Struthio camelus: one gene and its partner. The protein of the gene in region 2 purifies or fractionates together with the protein of the main gene of each other region. This does not show direct contact. Links are inferred from orthologs where the notes say so. Each region holds a gene or a part of one and is shown on either strand. Other genes may lie near its edges.

The links.
Region 1: the proteins of LRCH3 (region 2) and SUGT1 purify together in Homo sapiens (co-immunoprecipitation; 3 studies listed by BioGRID and IntAct, counting the BioPlex papers as one, with this or other methods). This does not show direct contact. The link is inferred for Struthio camelus from reciprocal best matches to the Homo sapiens genes LRCH3 and SUGT1.

The regions. Positions count from the first base shown.
Region 1 is NC_090942.1:188,786,962-188,798,082, forward strand, and holds the start of SUGT1 (protein SGT1 homolog), read right to left. Parts: upstream 5,494-11,121; 5' UTR 5,479-5,493; coding exon 5,215-5,478; intron 1,921-5,214; coding exon 1,830-1,920; intron 1,129-1,829; coding exon 1,059-1,128; intron 684-1,058; coding exon 613-683; intron 1-612. Other genes in the region: ELF1 (ETS-related transcription factor Elf-1), read right to left, coding at 8,982-9,600. UniProt on the Homo sapiens protein: May play a role in ubiquitination and subsequent proteasomal degradation of target proteins.
Region 2 is NC_090950.1:21,385,709-21,396,972, reverse strand, and holds the start of LRCH3 (DISP complex protein LRCH3), read right to left. Parts: upstream 4,175-11,264; 5' UTR 4,117-4,174; coding exon 3,879-4,116; intron 1-3,878. Other genes in the region: FYTTD1 (UAP56-interacting factor), read right to left, coding at 7,253-7,348, 8,492-8,618, 9,262-9,336, 10,204-10,265. UniProt on the Homo sapiens protein: As part of the DISP complex, may regulate the association of septins with actin and thereby regulate the actin cytoskeleton.

The DNA of each region.
Region 1 (11,121 bases), on a different chromosome or scaffold from region 2:
TGCCAAAAAGCTCTAATACTCCCCAAACTAGAATATGCACAAGGATATTACTAACAAAACAAACAAAAACCTCTGTAGTTAATAAGCATAATCTAACAAAAAAGGTAAAAAGTCATTTGGTAAAGAGTAAAAGTAAGAAGCTGTTTTGTCAGTTCACACATATAAAGTTACATACTCTTCATAAAAAAGACCAGTCCACCAAAGGGTATAAAAACGAAGAAATCCCAGCTACAAACCTGTTCTGCTTGAAAACTTTTCTGTGACATTTACTGCTACACCGTTGTCACCGTTTATTTTTAAGATCTCCAGGAAGCAGGGAAACATCCTCATTTTATTACTCAAAAAATCATAACGCTTTACTAGTTGCTAAGAATTGATACACATTTTTAAACTGTTTTATACTGTCATACAGCAATTGCACAAAACCTCCCAAGAGCCAGATCTGTTCCAAATATCTCAAGCAGGGCATCTATTCACTCACCATTAAAACAAAACAAAAAACAAACAAAAAACACAAAACAAACAAAAAAACCTTTGGTCTTCCCTTTCAGCTAATGCAATAAGAATTTTCCTCATATTAGTCAGTATTGTGCAAGTACTTTTAATACTTACTGTCCAACTTCTGTCCCTCTCTGAAAGACTCTAAAGCAGATGTGTAGTTTTTCATATGATATTCACCTAACCTGATATGACCAAAGAAAAGTATACAGAATCAGTAACTACTTTTCAATCTAAACCACATTCCGAAGATCACAACATACTCAGTTTATGCACTATATTTGTTAAAGTTACAAACATAAGAATATAAATTGCCTGAGAACTCCGCTTTTGAAAGGGTTGGGATGTTAAGATAACAAGTCCAAATTCAAAATCCTAATGAGAAAATTTATTTTTTTTTTAAATAACCACAGCGCTATTACAGACGTGCTAGAAGTAGTATAGCATCAAATATATTCATTCATTTTGTTGTAAAAACCTTGTATAAAGCTGTAATTCAAATACGAGTATTGCCCTAGAAACTATTACAATATTCCCAAAACATAATATCAAATACATACCCTTTCCTGAGAAAAGCTACAGCGTTACTGGGGTTGAGTTCTAAGGACTTCTTTGCATCTGCAACAGCATCTGTGGAAAGTCAGTTTACAGATAAGGAACATCAATATGTTATGAAAACGAGAAAACTGGCTGAGTGTTTTTGTAACATATTTCACCTCAAAATTTTGACTAGTTTTCTTATCTCACACACAAATTACGCTGCCTGGATTAAACATAGCCACAACCGATATGGATGACCCCTTCATTCACTTTAGAGCTCTGTGCAAGTATGCGCGAGAAGTATGACTGTCATTTATTCAAATCCTCTACTTAAACCCGATTTGTAAATCATTTTTTTAATGGAAAGAACAACTAGACCAAAGCTTTAGTATTAAGTTAATCTTTTTCCCATGCATTATTCAGCTATCACATTCCTACTATGACAGGATTCCGTCTCTACCAGGAGACCACACAAGGCCGGAAAACATTTACCACGTGAAGTCTAAAACCTACCTGAGAAGTCTACTGAAAAATAGATGCCCAGATAGTCCTGTGCTAAAATCAAATGGAAATCTATGGCCTGCAGAGTACCTAATTTATTGATAGTTTTGCAGATACAAAGCAAACAAAGACAAAGAAAACTACAAAGTATACCTTACTGTAATAACTGCCAATTAAGTTATAGGCAACAAATTTCTATTACTACTGTATTAATTGCAGATCTAAGACATCTTCTGTAAAGAATGTGTCGTAATACACTTGTAAAGGGATTATCAGTTTAAAGTTATTACCAGCATAATTCTGTAGAAGAATATAAGCATAAGCTCGTTGACAATAATATTCAGCATCATCTGGGTTCTTTTCCAAGGCTGCTGTCAGTTCCTGTAAAGAGAGACAAAAAAAAATATAAAATAGCAACTCAGAAGTCCCTGTAAAAGTACAATATCAACCTCTGTCAACTCAAAGACATTTCAGAACAAAATATCCTGAACTGGCTGGAACATTTGTCTATTGCCCAGTTTTGATCCACAAAGCTTATACATCAAAGGCTCACAAAGTACGAGGAATCTGCCAATTATACCAGATTCAAGGAACCTATTCCTTACCGACAAGGAAGCAAGTTTTTCAAATGCCATAACCATGAAGTCTAGTGCACAGCTGATCCTCTATATCCTAAAGAGCTGCCTACAGTTTTCAGCACTTCTGTACACAGGTCTGCTGGGTATGAGGAAGCAATGCAGTGCAGATTCGGAAATCAGCACAAAGTATGTCAGAACACTTGTGCAGGGATAACATACTCCAAGAGCCGTAACACATGATGAACGTGTTGTACAATATTGGTGAGCATGGGAGATTGTTTTGAAGCACACTGAGGAAGAAAACTAGCAGAAAAATACCTTTGCACCATTGGGCTTGCAGGCAACATTGCTGAATAACGGAAACGAGCATCAAGTATTTCTTTGTTAATGGAATGACGTTTACAGATTGAAATAATTATAACATACACTGCAAGAGAAAAGTTTCTTACATTCTGCACAGCAGAATGAAATTACAATGGCTCAGCACACACCTTTGGAAAGAGTGTTCAGCTCCAGTTCTCCCTTTACCGAGGAGGGTTGCTAGAAGGCAGTAAATCTTCCAAAGCCACTAACTGTACAACACTACAATACAGTAACTCAACTTTCCAAGTTACCTGGATTTCTATTCAGAATTCAGCCAGCATGAAGGAGGCCAAGATATAGGCTTTACGCATGCATAAATGTCAATTCAGCACAGCTGCAAAACACAGCTCCACCAAGCTACAGAAGGGAGGAAGAGTAGAAGAGCCTAACTTAGTTTTAATTCAGATCAGCGTCTGTTCTAGTTCATTACTGTCACACAAATGCTTACACCAACAAGGAATTAAGTGACCAAAGCAGCTTCTTTTGTCAGCAGTGTTGAGTTCACATCAGCATAAGATAATCAAATCTCTATATAGGTACAACATATAGATCTAAAACCTTGGGGGGGGGGGGAGGGTGTCTCTGAACAAGCGGCAGGCAGTAGAGTTGTAACAAAAAGCAATTCATGATCTACTTATACAAATGGCCTCTTAATAATTGAAGCCATTCAAGAGCAGTCATCACTATATGACGAGAAAGATGTATGATGATAGGGATTCCAGATAGGAAGGATATGAGGTAACTGATGTATTAGAACGGGGCCACGCTACGCAAATAGATGTAAGTACAGCTTGTAACCCTCAGAAACGAGTGAGGTCTGACACAAGTGAGTTTGTATGAATTAAAAGTGGTTTAATCTGCTGAATCACTTGTGCCTGAATTCAGTCGGGTTACCATCTTTGTTTCTCATATGGCAAAACACTCCACCAAAACAGAGACAACGCGTGCTTTCGTCCAGGAGTTACAATTTTAACATACAGTTCTGATTCTGCCTTAAGTCATTACTGCTTACCTTGCAGAGCATTTTATAAATGAAAAAGCAATAGAAGACATTCTTATTCCATAGGGTAGACTACTTTTTCTACTTAGTATGACAAAAAAGCCAGTAAGAAGTTCACCGCTTTATCATCCAGATTTTTAATGCAGCATTTAGACACGGATGATGACCTTTTAGTTGCATCAGATCCAGGCTAGTGCCTCTGCGGACACAGCTATAGCCAGCAGGTGCAGAATACTGAAGTATGCTCTTTAGGAGTTAAAGGAACCAAAAGGGCAGAAATGCCATGCTGACTGGATATAAGTCCTGCCAGGTGTGGAAGCATTACACAGCACCATTGGGTGCTGTGCCCCAGATTATAAACACTTAAGTACATGAGCTAAAGACTACACCCAAGATCATGCAAACATGGTATACTGCTTCTAGATCCAAGCTCCTAAGTCATCGTGATGTTGCACAGCATTATGGGACTTACCAGTTCAGAGATTATCAAGCACAGACTGCCTGCAAACATGAGTATTTACCAAAGAAAAAAAGTGACAGCTGGTATCACTGCAACATACTGTCTACCTAATGTGCTATAAACTATTTTAAAATTAGCAAAAAAACTTCTTACAGAAAGTCATTGAACATACAAGGAACTGAAATACAAACAAGACAAGTTAAGAAACTATGCTAACACAGAAAGACTAACGAATACTACTGAAATATGCCTTTAACACTTCCAAAGATGTTTTGTTTACAATTGGAAACTCAATTTTTTTACATCTTAAATTTAACTGTGTTAAATATATTTAGTTTTGTCCAACCCCATTTTAGATGTCAGTTACCTTCTGAAAAGTTTTTGCAAGCTACAGCCTAAACCCCAAATAACCGTAAGATTCAGCTGCACCACTTCATTATGGAAAGATAATTAAGTTTCCTGTTAAGCTCCAGCCACTTATTCCATTCAAGCAGAACTAAATAGTGATATCCTCTCCCCTTCTAGAGCATGTTAAACAAAAATCTATCCATCCTTCATTTCTGTCTTCCTATTAACCTTTCCTTTCAAATAAAAAGAACGCTTGAGAACACACTGACCGAACTTAATGGGTAGAATACACAAAAAGGAAAAAAAAAAGGGTGATAGTAGGATAAAAACTAATAAAGATTAAGTAAATTTCGCCAATAACTAAATCAATTATGATTCTGCACCTAAAAACAAAAACTTATTTGTATTACAGTCTACCTATATTGAACAAAAAGTTCATTTTTACTGTTTTTTCACAAGACAGGTAGTACAAGCATTTTGACAGAAACATGCTGAACACGTCCTTCGTCAGACGTCACATGAAGGAGTACAGCCCTCTGGGGAAAACACTGTAAACTACCAGCTGGCAAAAAGGACAACGGTAAGAAACTTTAGCTTTCCCCTCGCTTCTAACAGCGACACGACATGCCGCTGCAAGAAAGTCACCTCACCCACAGGACTTAAGCTTCCCCATTCATAAAACATCCTCCTCCCTCGCAGACAAAGCGCGAAGGTGCTCCCAGACTGACAGCGGAGCCAGACAGCCAACTTACACCAGCCCTGCAGGACCCTTACGCACGGCAAAACCCAGCGTGCCCAACTCGGGGCCCGGCGCCTCCTCCTCCGCCACGGCGAGGGAGGCAAAGGCGGCCAACCTCTGCCCACAGCCTCGCGGGCGGCCCGCTGCCGAGGCCGCGCAGCCCCGGGACGCGGCCCCCGCCGCTCACCTGCGCCGCTGCCCCCGGGTCCCGGTCGATGTCCCCGTCCGAGAACCTGCCGAGGAAACGTAAAGGGGTGAGAAGGCAGGAGGAGGTAGGCGGGCGGGGCGGCACGCGGAGGGAAGGGGAGCTCACCGCGGAGCAGCCGCTCCCCCCGCCGCCGCCGCCGCCATGCCGCCCGCCGCCCCCGAGAAACTTCTGGAGTCGCCGAGGCACCCGCACAACAACCGCCAAGGCCGCAGCCGCGCGCGCGCAAAGGCTGACGGGATGCATAGGGGCCTGCCCAACCCGTAGGGGCCTCCCGCGCGCCTCGTCACGAGGCGGGGCGGCCATTGCTACCGAGGCAAACGCGAAGGCCTCCCTCCCATAGAGTTGGAGGACCAGCCGTGACAGAGGTGCTCTTAAGCCCTTCCCTCCCGCCCCTTCCTCCCCCCCACCCCGCGGCGGCAGGAGCCGGCGGCCGGCGGTGTGCGCATGCGTGCGGGCGGGTTGGGGCGGGGAGGCGGAGGGAGGTGGCGGCGTCGCGGCGGTTGGCTGCTCTTTCGCTGCTCAGGTTCGCCCCAGGCTCAAGGGCGGCGGTTCCCAAACGGGGGTCCGCGCAAATACGAGAAAGGGCAGAGAGCTGGCAAAGTTCGTTTTGCTTAGGCTGCCGTTTGGGGTGTGAACCTGAGAGGAAGGGGTGTGAAGACCGCAAAGTTAATGAACCGGGGGTTCAGGAGGGAAAGGCCGGCGTCGCCTGAGGTCCAGGCAGCTCCTGTTAGCCCCAGCCTGACGGGTAGATCTTGAGGCAACCAAGCACCAGCGGCAGTGGTTCCGGCCGGGCAGGGGGCTCCCTCAGCTTGGGAGCTCTGTCCCCCGCAGTGGCAGAAGCAGTGGCCCCACGTCTCTGGCCTAACGCCTGGAAGCGGGAGTCGGGGCCTTTCCTGGGGCAGCAGCGGTGCCCTGGGGCTGCTCCTCGCCCTTGGGATCCCTTCCTGGGGGCAGCACGTCTCTCTTCCCCCCCCCTCCTTCAAGCTGGCATGCGTGCAGAAGAGAGCTGCAGCCTCTTGTTTTTTTTTTCTTTCTGAGTCAGCGGTGGCTCAAATGTGACATTGCGCCTTCTGTTTGGTCAATACCGCAGACACAAAGACGGCTGTGAAAAGGCGTTAAGGGCAGGGGGGAGGAATTGCTCAACCCCCAACTGTAAGCCCTCGTTTTGTGACCTGCTCTGGCTTTTCCATTCCATTGCCGCTTTGGAGGCCCATAGTATTGAGAGCTGAAAGTACGATGGGTAGAGGGGGTAGTACATCGGAGCCTAAGAGACGTGGGGAGAGGGAAGAAAATGATTTTCATTTAGGGTTTGTTACACAACACAGTCTTCTGTTAGAAGACATGCCGTTGTTGTTTGCTGGAGGTTTTCTGCCAGCCTAACTATACCACTTCTCCAAAAGACATAAACTAAGCTGACAAAATCGTTTTCCTGTTGACGTAGTTAAATCTATGGCAAGAGGTTTTCTTTGCAAAATTGTAATCTCATACTGCGATTTTTCACATTTTTAGCAAATACGCTGAGCAAAACACCCCCTCCCCCCCCAAGCACTATGTCAGTCAAGCCTTAACGTTTCCTCAGTTTTCCTCAGGCTCCCTAGTATTATGAAATATTTGTATTACAGGATAAGGTCCCTGTTTTGTAATTAATTTCAAAAGTATCGTCCCCAATGTTTTTTGTCAATTTGAAATGTAAAGCCCTCAGGATGAGAACTGTACCATATTTTTACAATGTTATCCACATTTCTAGTAATATTGCCAACATTGTATTTCTGTATTTTTTTCATTAAGATAAAAAATAACAAAAATATTAGGACTGCACTTCTACAACACAAGAGCTCTTCAACCAGAGGGTGCAATTCTAATACTTAAGTTCCCTAGTTGCAAGGAATGCTGCCGGACAAAACAATCACCACTTACTTGGCATCAGTCACTTCGGTTTGTGTACTGCCAGTCTCTGAAAAGGGGATGAGATTCATGGATTTGTAGGTCAAAACCTAACAGCAGGAGAATAAAAGAAAAAAAAAAGCCACACATCCACCTAAACAAGGCACTTTTAACCACCAAGAAACAGGGTAGCCGTGGCAGAGAACTGCTTGTTAGGTACAGTTTTTAGAGTTACTTCTATACAGCTAGACCAAAGTGGTATTTCCTTTAACTTTGCATGCAGCTAATCTTACTAGGCATCACGTTCATTTATAATCCACGTTCTCCTTAAACATTTTGCAACATGCTAGGTTTTGGCCATGCAGTAGTTTGAGCCTGCAGTACTGTTGTATAAGCTACAAGGACCTTTGTGATAAATGGCACCCCAGAATTATGCTGAAATTTTATAACTTACTGGGAAGGGACAGAAAAGACGACGTTGAAGTCTAAACACTGGCTATAGCTCAACTTTCATTTCAGCTATGAAAACGTACAGTACTGCTCCCTGAAAGGCCACAGTGCCATCGCATGCTCAAACACACAGCATGTTGGTGCATTCCAGGCTGAGTTCAGAAGTGATTCACAAATTGCTCACTTGCTCATGTTCCACCACAGGCCCACACTGATTAATTATGCTGTCCTGTTTCTCAGCGTATTTTGGAGACTTCTAATGATCATCAAAACACTGTATTAATATAAAAACATTTCAGAGTAAATACAGAAAAGTTTTTCTCCATTTGATTTATTTTCATAATAAACCAATTAAAAATACAAAAGGCAAGGACCCAAGGTTCAAAGGGCTCCATCATTTAAAAATTTGTCTTTTAAATACAAATTCACTCTGTAATATGAATACATATAACATTAGACCTCTAAACATAATGATCTTATTTGCATCTATCAAAAATTTGTATGGAAACAAATTAGCTGAAAAACTTCCTTGTGACATTGAATGTACATTATTTACAATCAAAAAAGAACTCTTAGCAGTACTAATCTAAGAACACCTGCATAAATTGTATATATTTCATTTCCCTCCCCCCCCCTTACAAAATGATCTGAAGTAGAAAGCAAAATTGTTAAAATTCATAGTCACAAAATGGCATGAAACATTTGCACCTGTAGTGATGCCATTAGTTTCTGTAATTAAATATATCTGATGTTTCCATATAAAATACAGACCTAGCATTGTCCATTACTGGAATAAATGTTTTCTGTACTCTCAATAGGAGTGTATATTTAATTTTGCACACACAAGAGCATGTGTTGCAGAAAATGCAACAAGAGGATACCTGGTTATCACTGTCCGTTATTCAAAGTCTAAATCTGATGTAATTCACTGGTATGAAACAGATACACTTGATCATAAAAAATTCATACACATGGAATGAAAATGTCCCATCAAAAGTAAAAGTAAGTGTTGCTTCAAAAGTTAAGTGATACATGCACGGATTAAACAGAGAAGGTTATAATAATGTTACTGCAATGTAAATTAGCAACAGACTGAAAACATACAAATATGTAAGAAGTTCGGAACTTTGGCCAAAAACCTCAAGAGAAAGTCTTCATAGCATAAAAAAGCATGTTCCTTCACGCCTGTATTTTGAAACATGAGGGATATGTAATTTTATTTATATGATAACATTTAGCAATTAACAGAAAATCAAAATCCATTCTAAAGCATGAATTCTACCAATTAACTGCGGAAATTAAGTAGCTTTGTAACATCTGCTTCAGAATCAAATCATATATACATAACTGAAAAGGTCCCATCACATTTATGAAAATAATCATCCACAGGGTCTTTTTTTTTTTTTTTTAATTTATTTATATGAACTGGGTTCCAATGGCTCATTTTCTTGCTTCACTTGCATGTTAGATGGGAAACCATTTGAACTGGATACTACCATCACAAAAGGCTGCTGCTGAATTCTCTGCTCTGACTGCTCAGTATCATCTACTTCATCATTGTCTTCTTCTTTTATCGCTGTTTGTATGCCAATCTGCTTAGTTTCTGGTGCTTTAATAACTGAAGTGATCACTGTGCCTGACGGATGAGCTACCATCTGTGAACTGCTAGGTGAAAAAGTTACCACCGGGGTAGTGGCACTGAAGGATGGAGACGAAGCCATGTTGACTGTTCCGTTGCAAATTGTCTGCACACTGCTGGTGAGAACCTGTTGAACTTGGGCTGGGCTCAGCACAATTGATGAAGGAGGAGAGACTGGCTTCTGAGACTGCAGCATGACGTTTTCTTTAAGAACTGTCATGGGTTGCGAAGTAGGAATGGCTTGTAAAATAAATTTTTGGGGCGTTGTCGCCGAGGCTGGATCTGTGCTGGTTATCACTGTAGTAAGAGGCACTGTCTGGAGTGTTACAGTATGCAGCTGCTGATTTCCAGGAGAAACAACCACTGGAACTTGGGTTGGAGTCTGTAAAGTCCTATTCAGATTAGAAAAGAGTGCAGGGTCAGAATACTTTCACTTTGAGTTTTTAAAAACAATTATACTCTTACTATTGGAAAAAATCACTTGGCATCACAAACCTTCGATTATTTTTCTAAGGATTTCAAACAGGGAAGCACTCTCCTAAAAAAACAACCCCCTCCCCCGTCCCCCCAGGTCAGTAACCCATTTCCCAAAGCGACTGTCTGTCTTTGAGACATTCAGTATTTCATGAGGAAACCGGGGAATCATCCAACATCTCCACCTCAGGCATCAACAAACCCTACACGAGTATCATCAATTTCACAAGGTACTCGGCTGAATAAGTCATAAATCAGGCTTCAGTTCTCCTGCCATCCATGTATGTCTGTAACTATACACACAGGCATCTGCATTGTAACAGCAAGTGTCTTCGGGACCCTCTCAGGCTCACAGGACACAGCTCTCCCTCTGTATGCCAGGTTTACACACTCCTAAGGGTAAAGCAACTGACCAGAATCTGCCCCCAGGAAAAGTTTAAATTAGGAATGATTCCATCAATTTTAGGCTGACAGACCTGGATACTGTATTACTTTCTAAATATGTACAGCTGAGAGGGCAAAGTCAGAAGATTAACAGCCACATCACTGAAGTATACAAGTCTTACAATGGAAATTGGTGATTTAGAAATGTGTTGAAGCACATGCACTGCAACATACCCATGTTTTAAAAAAAAAAAAAAAAAAAAAAAAAAAAGGCAAAGAAACCTCGCACTCCTGGTGAAGCGAATGATTTCCAGCGAAGGGAAGGAGGGAGGGAAGGAAAACTACTTCTACACTGTTCCCACAGTATTTATATTACTATTTCTCATTCCTTTTGCACCTTTATTTTTGGCACCTTATAAATCATGATAATTTTGCAATACGATGTTTATTTTTGAACTTACCATTTCTGAGAATGGTTTACTCCACATTTACTTTTTACAGTCCTGGGTCTCCCTCACTTTTTCCCCCTCTCTAAACCAGCATTGTCAAAAATTTGTTTCCACTCTGCCATTTGGCTGCTTGCTCCAGCCCATCATGCCACACTGTCCCTGGCAATTTTTTTCTCTTTCTCTCGGTCCTGCAAAGTTCTCTCTGACGTTCCTGCTTTGCTTCCATGTTTTCTTCTGACAATCTTCCTCTGCTTTTTCAGTCTGAACCTCTCACTCATGCCTTCTTTAATATACTTGACACTAAGTGAAAACAAGCATAATTATCTTCTAGCTTACTTCTGTCTCTGTTGAAATCATTTTAGATTAAAAGTCACTTACCTTCAATATTTCTACTTTCAAGTCCATGCACGATACAGCCTGTTCTCTCTTCTAAAAAGTTTAATTCTCAGCTACTTTGTAAGAGTTGCCTAGTATATATCTATCATGGAATGTCCTCTTTTCTATAGTCCTTCTGCCCATCTAGTACCAATCTTCTACAGCTCTGTGAAATCTCACTTGCCAGAGTTTTGCTACTGGCCAGTAAGATCAGACTCAACGTAATCAAAA
Region 2 (11,264 bases):
AATACTATCCTATCCTCAATTTAATTTTAAGTTGTTTGGTTCCCCATTCCTTTTTTTTTTTTTTTTTAAATATCTGTACATCGCTTCTTCTTGTGTGATCTTAATTCCAATCAAAACACAAAAACAAACCGCAACTCACTATTATTTCAATGTCTGCTTAAGTTATCTACTCAGAGGTAGAACTGAGAACACTAATCTGTGTTTAAAAAGCCTTCTGTGGGTCCTCAGCATCTGGACGACAGCAGCTTCCAGAGGGCAGCTGAGGCTCCGACATTACTACAGGTTTCACTTTGCAGTGAGAGTTTTGTGATCAAGGCAAATGATTAATGAGGAATTTAATTCTCCCACTGATGCTTAATAGAAGTATATTTAACTTTCAGAATAGAAATGCAGCAAACCCTATCTGGTTATCAAATATTTTTCCAAAGTCAAATTACACCTGCCAGAAACTTAGTTCTGATAATTATTCAGGGATCACTTAGGAATTATACCTGTGTATTTCATCTCATGTGCGACTGGACCAGAACACAAGGAATAGCACTACTGCAGCCCATCGATGAAAATGAGCTGTCAAATGCAATTTACGTTTCATTAGAGGGCTACAGTTAACCTAAAAATTGCATCTCTGTATAAAAGCACCATACTTGCAATAAAACTCACAGCAATACAGTAACTGAAAAAAAGGAAAAAAAAAAAAAGAAAGTATTTTCCTCTTTAAGAGCACAGTAATGCTAGTAACCAAATACAAACAAATCAACACCTTCCACCGTGCTTGAACTGTTATGATAATCAACTGACAAAAGACTTTCAGAGGAGTTCACATGTGCTTTTCTATAATCTGGGCTTTAGATTTTCAAGCCTTTGAAGCAAATACATTGCTACGCTATATTTTCAAAATAGCACAAGAATTCAAGTATGAGAAATGTATGCATTTTATTACTAGTATTTTTACACAACATCAAAATCCAACAATTATTCAATATCACATCCATTTGTGCACGTTTTTGGACACTGAGACATTAACTGCCTGAACACGGTCTAGAAAGCATCTGAAAGCAGGTATACTAAGTGAAAGAAAATAAGATGATTAAATAAACTTATATAAGTTGGGATTTGGTGTGGTAAACACTGGTTATTCCCACTAATTTGAAACTACTAGGGCATTTATCTAGATCGAAGAGAATCAGGGAATGAGTTTGTGCAGAAGCAGCTACAAGTGCTTAAGCACGAGGGTTAGTAGTACTGTAAACTCTCAACGCTTGAAAGTTCCAAAGAAACATGCTCTTTCCACTGATGTAACATTTGAAAATATACTTTCTGGCTGATATCCACTTGTAGGCATTCCCCCCTCCCAAACTGCGAATTCCAATATCTGCACAGAGCAGCCAGGTAAACTTGATCTAGCATACATCTAATCTCTATGCCCTGCTCTTCCTCCTGACCCACTTTTGGTGGTTCATCTATGTTAACAAGAGCTTCCAGTCAAGGCCACTGAATCTGTTAAGGCTTAAGGCTATTCTAGAAGCTAGTTTTGTAGCAGTGTAGTTACATTAATAAGGCATGTGATTCATGTGATGTGTACATGCTCCACCTGATGTGCTTCGAGTCTTTACAGAACAGCACGCTGGAAAGCACCTGGAGTCCACAGGATTGTTTTAAGTGTTTATAACACCTAGTACACATTTTCATTATACCATATTATTTGTGGCTACTAGCATGTAATAAAAGCTGGAAGTTTCACAAGAAGGAAATCAACACGGGGAAAGAAGCGGATTAAATCTGTAGCTGAACCCTCAACTGATACTCAGAGGTCAGAAATAGTTGCACCGTTTCTCTCCACCGCCCAGCCTTATTCAAAAGAAAAAAGAAAAAAAAAAAGTAATAGCACAAGTTATACCAAAAAAGGCACGAGATGAAGTTATTCACAGGAGACTTCATAACTGAGAACCTGAATAGAACTTTTCCCTCACTCACAGTAAGCTCTGTCTCTTAACTTAGGAAGAGTCTTAGCTTTTTCCAAGGTTCCCTGTGAAGAAAAATGCACAAAGTGTATATGGCATGCACTGCTGCTTATTGGCATTTAATGCTTCTTGAACAACTACAATGCAAATATTCATCACAATAGATAGGAACCTTGGCGGAAACAAGAATTCCCACAAATTGTTCAAGACTACAGTAAATGAATAGTATTATAAACAAAAAGCCCCAATCCCTCACAAACAAGTATGCTATATTTACCCATAGATGTGTTGAGGCCAAACTAAGCAGATCTGCCCCTCGCAGGATTTTTTTTTTTTGGCAGTATTAGTACTTTTCTGACAGATTTTTTGCTCAAATAGGACATTACATGACACAGCGTGAAGTTAAACCATTTTAAAGGAGGCTCCATTTTGAAACATTTAACTGGCAGTATATCAATACACCAATAAATAGAGTTTTTAAAAATAAATAAAGTTTTTAAAAGCGATGTTCAGAGTTTGTTTTTTTAGCTAGTATCTTCAAACAAAAGCATCACAACTCAAATGACAGAAAAAGTTATAAGTGACCAAAGCTAAAAGTAAATGGCATGCTGATACCTTCCACAACTATTTCTACTTTGCTTATACAACTACACAACTAAAACACACGCAAACAAAATTTGCTCTATATAACGCATTAAGAAAAGTAAGCTCTACATCCCATGAAAACACTCATTTTTACAAGTCTTACTTCTCTGTTCAATGCAATAATACATTGACATAATCCATAAATGTTTGCATGTGTTTTTACTTATGGGCAAGCTGTTTACATGTGAAGTATGCATTTTTAATCTACTCCCTATGAGCATACTTGGGGAGCAAAGGGGAAAAAAATACCTCTATTGCTTACTGTACCATGTAAAGCATTCCTTAAAAATATTTAAAGTTTTCCTCCGTTCAGAATTAAGGGAGAACACAGTAAGAGGACGTGCTTCTTCTCACAGTACCTTCCAGCTCTTGTGCATAGCTGTCAGAAATGACAATAATAATAGCATAAGAGCACAAGAAATAGTTTTCATTTCTTTAGCTCATGAACACTTGACAGCTCTTCTTGTAAAGTTGGTTTCCCCTGCCAATAGCACAAGATGAAAGACAGGGAAGGCGCATATGCATGTGTACATATATAACACGTATATATACCAGTAAAAGAACACACATGACTAAAACCACATGAGTGCGCAGCGGGTACTTAGAAAGGACTCGTAACTACTTTTAAAACCCAGCTTCTAACATGGGAGCACCTCTCACCGGCCAGCCTGGCGAGGGGGAAAGGAAAGGGGGAGCACCCTGCACCAACTCCCCCCATCCTGCCTCGCAGGAGGCGAGAGGAAGGGCGAAGGGAGAAGGGGGAAGGTGTGAAAGAGAAACGGCCCAAGAGAAGAAATATGCCAAGCATCGCCTCCGGGGGTGGGTGGCGGGGCGGGAGGGAACAGGAATCGTCTCCCGCTTGGCCGACCAGCCCACAGCCGGGGGGGGGGGGGGGGAATCCCCCCTACACACACACACGAAGAGGAAGGGTGGAGGGGACACAACCCAAACGCTCCAAGCATGCATTAGGAAGGGATCTGCTCGCAGGGGAAATCTCTCCTTTTCACACACCCAGCATAAATCCCCTCACTCGGGGGGGGGGGGGCCGGCTGCCCTGCCCCTCTCCCACCCGCCCAGCGGCCGTTAGGGAGGGGGTGGGGGGCAGACAGACACCCCCCCCCCGTGAGGGGGAGCCGCCAGGCCGCGCCACACCGGCTGCCCCCGGCCCTGGGGCGCGGCAGGGGTGTGGCGGGCGTTTCCCCGGCCCCCTCCGCGCCGCTTCCAGCCCTCGCCCCGCCGCCGGGCCCGCCCGCTCCGTGCCGCCTCCCTCACCGGCCTGGGTGGTGTCGCTGAGGTCGTGGTTGGCGGCGCTGGCCCGCGGGTAGTCGCGGAGCTTCCTGCCGCTCAAGCTGAGGGTGCCGCTGGCCGCCGCTTCTTCCAAGGCTCGGTCCAAGGAGCGGCTCCACGAGCCCGGGCCCGACGGGCCCGGCGCAGGGGAACATGTCGCCGGGCTGCCCGCCGGCACCACGGCAGAACCGCCCTCCGGCGCCGCCAGCACCGCGGCCGCCATTTCCCCCGCCGCAGCCCTCCGCCGCTCCGGCTTCGCGCGCTGCTGCGCAGGCGCGGGGAAAGCCCAGGGACTGGCACACAGGGCGCATGCGCGCGGCAAACTGACAGGGCGCGCAGGCGCAGCCCCTCCCGGAGGAAATTGGGGGGGGGGGGAGGCCGGAGGGCACCTGGGGGAAAAGCTGGAACAGGCTCGTTTCGAGGCTGCTTTTCCCTCTCCTCGGAGCACCCAGGGTGCAAGCGTGCCCACCTCCCCTTGGCAATGGCTCAAGTGCCCAGAGCTCACCTGAGGTCCAGCATAAATTAAGATTTAGCCCACCTGGCTGCGATGCCACGTGAGCACTTCCACAAACTTAAGTTTTCTAGCGCCTCCAGAGCACCAAAGTCACCAAACCTAAACAGGTCAGACTCTTTGCAGTGCCTGAACACGTAGTGCTTGTCTTACTGCCCGAAAGTACAGATCGGCTGCTTAAAAACAAACAAAACACCCCCAAACCAGTGCACCTCTGAACGTCGTCTGAAGCTGACAACCACGCAGATTTTAGCCGGTAATAAAAACTAAGGACTTCAAAGAGTCGGGTGCCAGGACAGAAACTCACCATACTCAACATCTTACAGGCAGTATTTTTCCCCCCCACGTACAATTAATAGCAGCACTTCCACTGCTTATAATGCACATAGCTCCTGGCAGCACGTCTTTGCCAGCGTCCTTACTTGAAAACACAACCACAGCAGTTTTATCAGGGTGTTCAAACTGATCCTGTAATAAAATGCTTAGATGACAGTGATTTCCCATTAGCAAAACATGTCACAGCAATCTGAAAATCAGTACATGACCTGACAGATTAAGGTATCTGGTACTATGATCAGACCAAACCACTAAGATAGTGCTACTAAAAACATCAGTTATTTATATATTTTTCAAATGCAAGTGAGCTTATATAGTACCAGTGCAAAAAGTGCTCATTTTTCAGGACACTAAGCCAGAAACGAGTACAAGCCCTCCTTAAATTGGGCTAACTTTTGGTATATTCTCCAGAAATTTAATAATGATTTAATCATTAACAACCCCTTGAAGGATATCAGAACATTTATATAACCAATATATTGCCCAAGTGGTTATAACAGGAACAAGAAAGTATGAAACCTGTAACATTTTATTAAAAAAAAAAAATTAACAGCTTCAGAATAGATCCAATGTAATAACTTCTTCAAAAAATACCAAAAGGTACAGTGTAAAGCATCTTGTCATTAAATACAAACTAGCATTTCTTGATGCATTGCATCAATGTTTTGCATCTTTGTTGATGCAAAAGAATTGTTTTGTTGCATCCTGGCACAGGGAAAACATATACACTGAAACAGGATGACTAACACCACGTTATCTACTCAAATTCTAACAGTGGGGTATTTTTCAAAAAAAATCCCTATTAGTAATTAAGAAAAAAAAAAACTTAACACCATTATTTTTAGTTTTTTTGCTAAGGTATGTTTTTCAACATTAAAAATAAGGTTTTAAGTACTATATAGTGTCAAGGATGCATTCTGACTTTAAAACTGCTATATGACAGAAAGCCCTTCTACTGTCAAACGCTCTTCAACATGTAAGTCCAGGGAAACAGCTAGTCAACTTGGAATTTGATAAAAATGCAAGGAAACCAACTTTGTAAGAAGCCAAATGTAAATTCTTCAAGAGAAATAAGAGGAATTAAAACCACTTCACACACCATAGACATCTGTGGATGCAGCAAGCCAACCATTCTTTTACCTGACTGTAACTAAAACTCATTGCTATAGAACAGTGTTCAGTTCATCACTTCCTGGACTGGAAGCAATTTTATCAGCATGTTAATTCTGAACAGGTGTCTCGTTTCTACTGATGGTATGAATTCCCAATAAGGAGCCCCAGTTGTCACCATCCTTCAGATTCTGATGCATAAAACTAGACATTAAGTAACTGCGTGCACCTATTTCATGCCTTACACATGTTGGCAGACTGAGGGCTTTATTCCAGCAACACTTCCCCAGTTTCAGCCACCTTCAAGATGCGTGACCACTGCTGATCAGCTTCACATCTTACCTCTCTTTGGTATATACAAACAAGTGCCATTAAATTGCTTGCCTCTGGCCATTTCTGAGGGACAGAGAGAACCCTCTGGGGTAAGATGAGAATCCTGTGTCTGGGAAGGTAAGGAACTCTACCATACCACTGACTTTCTTCTGAACTGTTGTATTTATTCCTACAAAATTATTCAAAAAAATGTGAAGTTATTGCATTAAGTTTATGGAAAAGAAAAAACTTACAAAAAGAAATAGAAAGTAAAAGTTTAAGGAAAAAAAAGGAGACAGACATACTCCATTTGCAGATGAACGCCAGCTATTTGTAATATAAACTATGCCCATACTGCCGTACAGTACTCCTCCAGCGTGATCTGGACCACGTCTAAGGATAAGAGTAGGAGTAGAATAGTCTCCATCCCAATTATATATTTTGGATCTCAGCTAACAGCTTTATTTGCGAAAATGAGGATGCAAAATATTTAGTCTCCATGGAAGGAAAAAGAAAAAAAAAAAGAAGAAAAAAAAGAACATCAAAACCACAAAGAATTACAACCAATGCTCCCATGAAAACTGCCGCTACATCACTACCAGAAGTATTTATGGACTGAGGCTCTGTACTAAGCTGCAGTCCAGAGGGAAGTTTATAGACAGTCCCTAACACCCTAAAGAGGGGATTGTAATGGAAACACTGACAGTCTTCACTATAGCAGGGGGTCAAAGAACAGATACTGAGCACTGCTAAACGAAAAACAAAACAAACCACCCCCCCGAAATTTTATCCTCATGTTTGTATTTTGGTTGCAAGATGAACCAAAAAAATCAGTGTTTGTCATCAGCTGGGCAACAAAATCTTTTTCAACCAGATCATGGTGTCACTCCAGCAGATTGGTTTCCCCACTTTTTCACCCCAGGGCATCATGTCTTTTACTGTTCAAAGTAAAAGTAATAAAGATAGTTAGCTCTGCCACTATCTTAGCAAGAAGTCTGGAGAATCTCAGTGACGTATGCTGTATTCTTCTGCCCACTTTTATCTCAGTTTCTTAGATAAGTGGGATCAGTACTCAAGTCCATTTGACAGGTTAGCCCACGGTTACAAAACGGCTTCCTTTGTTCTGGGACAGCGCTGTTCTTTGTTCCTTCAGGATCCCAAAACGCTCGTTCAAAGTCATCCCTGTCTGGAAAATAAATTTATTTCACTATACACATAAAAGATGCTAGGTTAATTTAATCAAAGTAATGGAGACGAGAGTAATTTTTCCGCATTCCGTATCATCACCTGGCTTAAGTGTATATCTAACTAAGATCCAAAAAAGGCCCTGATTTAATTTGGTTTCATTCTTTCCCACACCATTTAGAAATCAGAATGGAGTACATATCAACAGCTAGCACTTATTGGAATTCATTAAGAACATATGGTGGTACCAAGTCAAGACTGACAGTGAACTCAGAAAACCCTAAGACAGTTAAACTGAGAACAGATTGAAAAAGGGAACTTTCACTAGACTCATTTCCAAGCATGGATTCTACGTAGCTTCAACAAAAACAAGTTTCTAACCACTTTCCAGTCCATCCAGTTGAGGCAGCAGACTAGCGTCTAGTCTGACACTTCAATTAATTTTTTTTTTTTTTTTTAAACAATATCATAGCAGGCTACTTGCCACACACTATTTGTTTGCGGAAGGAACAAATCCTGACTGACTTTCTGACCCCATGTTTTCTGCAGAAGACAGTAAAAAGCTGATTATAAGAACAGCCTGGTCTTGGGGTCAGTGCCTAACTCTGTCACCCTGCCAGAATTTTGTCAGTAAGAGCACTCAGAAGATCCTCTCTCCTGCACCCACTCACCCGTCTTCACGAAACTCTTGAAAACGTATCTCTCTCTTAAACCTTTATACCATTACATTTGATTTTTTTTCCCCTAGTTGCATAGTCAAAGTTGCTCTGTTGCAAAGAGTAATGACATTCAGATGCCAGTGTTCCATACAAGTTACGTGAGTAAGAGCAGCTCAGCCCTGAATTACACACACTAGCTGATTCAAGCAGCAAGAACATCGGAAGATTTTTACAGATATTCAGCATTTTAAATCCCACTCAAAGCATGCGGGCATGCAAGACACAAACCAGAGGAGCAGGAACACTAAGTGCAGATATTTGGTTGAAGTTACATAGCATGTTAGCAGAAGAACTGGAAGTGGAAACAAGCAGTAGTTACTAGTTCCCTCTTTCTGTCACTAGCGAGTATAGGATTAAAGTGCCTGGCTCACCATCTTTATCTATCTTGGAACTACTCCATAGTTGAGGAAGGAAACTGCTTTTACCTGTTTTCCAACACTATTAATATCGAACTGCAACGGAACCCCTTTGGGAATCTTCTTCTCTTCAGACTGGTCCCTCTTCATCAGAAATGGGGGCACGGGAGTACGAGTTAATCGTAATTTCTGGGACCTATGAAAGAACAACATTAAAACGGACATAGTGAATACATGCTTTTAAGCAATAAAGCCTTACTGCTGATAGAACAACACTTCTGACTGTTAGTCTGTGTTGTAAATGCACAAAAAAAAAAAAGTAGACAGAGGCTTCCTTACAGAGTAAGTACTACTAATTAAAAAAAAAATTGTCTAAAATATAACTCCATCATCAAACTCAACTCTTCCTTTAACTTCAAAAATAAATACAGCAATACTTTCTTTAAGGACATTTCTAACAATATCTTTATGAATCAGGAAGGAACTATTATCATCACTCAACAACTAGATGCTCATTCATTTTCATTCAGGTAGAGGAGGGAAACAGCCACAACATGGCCTGATTTTGAGCACGCAGATAAGGTGAAAATCTACCAGCCCTACACAACTCAACTTTATGCCACATCAAGCTCCTCGCTGGGAGGTCTCTTGTGAAAATCAATTGTGATGTTATGCAAACACAGCTCAGAAACACTCAGAAAGCGGCTAGTTTTAAAAGCTTTCACAAGAACTCACCTTGAAGTCACCTGAAATAACATCTGCAAATAAATTGCTAAATGGCTCAGGAACAGCCATTTCAGTTACGCTAAGAACATTCCAGAGCTGCTTTTATTACTCACATTGGATTTATGATTGCTCCTGGGTTGTCAATAGATACAGTCAGAATCCCTCCACTCGTGGTAGAAGTTCGCCATCTAGTTTGAAAACACAGAAATCACTTATCCCAATCAAAATTTCAGCAACACGTTTACATCTTTAAAAGTGCGTCCCAAATACTGGCTAATAAAGAACGTATAAGCTTTCAGAATATGGGCCAGTACAAAGACAGCATGCAGACAAGCAATCTGCACGTTATACGGTATGAGAAGCGGGGTACTGACTTCAGTATCCTCTACATTACCTGAAGAGGCATAGACAAACTGTAGATCACATGCTGGCAAGACATACCAATACTGCAGCAGTGATCAAAATGTTCCTATTTTTTAAAACATTCCCTTTCGCTTGCCACAGATGCAGCTAGATTGGCCTTCACAGCAAATCAAAGGTGACAGACTACAGTTCTGTGGCACATGCTGCTTACTCAGCCTGTTGTGTTACCAGCAGCCAAGTTGCAAAGAGCCTAGCAAACAGAGAAGGATATGAGAGGCGCATTGGGAGAGTATTGCGTGGCCTGCCTCACGTATTTTCCAACTGCTTCACAGGCTCTGTGTATATTAGATAGCATGGAAAAATATATGAAGAGCTCAGGAGAGTGCAGGCATTGGAATTTTTCTCCTAGTCTATGCAGTATTCTTAAGTGGTAGTGACTAGTCTACCTAGCTAGCACCTTCTGCCTCATTCTTGTGAGCATCTTACGCAAACAAACTCATCTTGGTTAACTGAAGAGATACTGCAGGAAACAACTGGAAAAAAATAGGGAGAGGACCACTGCCATTCAGTTTAGAGGCCTACAGGCAAAAAAAATATCCAATTACCATAGCCAGGAGCAGAAGCTAGATCCAAAACAAGAGCAGTAGTACAAACAAGTAACTAAACTGAATTTTGTCAAATGAAATACTTACTGACGAGTTCTCTTTACTGTCTGATTATCTAGATCTTCTGCTGGCTGCACTTGGGCCTGCACCTGAAAGCAGATCAAGAGAGACACCAGATTTGAATACTGTTTCCACTCTCATTGTAGCAGTTGGGAAAAAAAAGCAGTTCAAAAACAGAAGTTTAGAGATGTTTGTGCATTTTGTACAAACTGGGCTGTACTTTCAGAGGGACTTCAAAGATAACTATCCTATTACCTTCGTAAGACAATGGAAGGAAATAACTTTAAGAACAAAATGATTTAGAAGTGATCATCAATGACAGTAACTTAAGCAACAAAGAGATGAAGGAGAGGGTCCAGCTGCAGTCATAGGAAAGAAAACAGGAAATCAAGGACAGGAAAGAAAAATCACACATATATCCCTACATATAGGGAACATCAGAGAAGAAATACCGGGAGATGGTCAAAACAGGAAACACTTAAGGACTGCCTTAGAAAACAACACTTTACCAAGATCCACTAAAACGTTACCAGGCCAGTAAGAACAACACGGGCAGCTCCTTGCTGGAGCCGCTCCTTGGACCGAGCCTTGGAAGAAGCGGCGGCCAGCGGCACCCTCAGCTTGAGCGGCAGGAAGCTCCGCGACTACCCGCGGGCCAGCGCCGCCAACCGCGACATACATAATATTCAATAGGCCATCAAGTTCTACATCCTTTTTAAAGGAATTTGGTTTTATTTTTCTCCCTCCTGATCCTGTCTGTAATTCCCAATTCTGCAATCTATGTGGATGGAAGATGGCAGCTACCAGTCACAATGATGGCATATGTAGAATGAGGGCACGAATGAAAACCAGCCACCATCATCCAATACAGGCTCTCCTCCTATTTACTTGATTTTACTCAAAGGAACTAAAAAACGTTTACATGCAGATAAGGTGGACATCATCAGAATTCTAAAATGTATTTCCTCATCTGAAAGCAAATTTAGAAAGCAATGTGCAGTTTTCAAGCGCCTACTAGTAAGAGGAAAAAGTAAAAGCTTGCAACTATCCTCAAACACTCAGACCTAAGTTCCATGTCCCTCAGAATA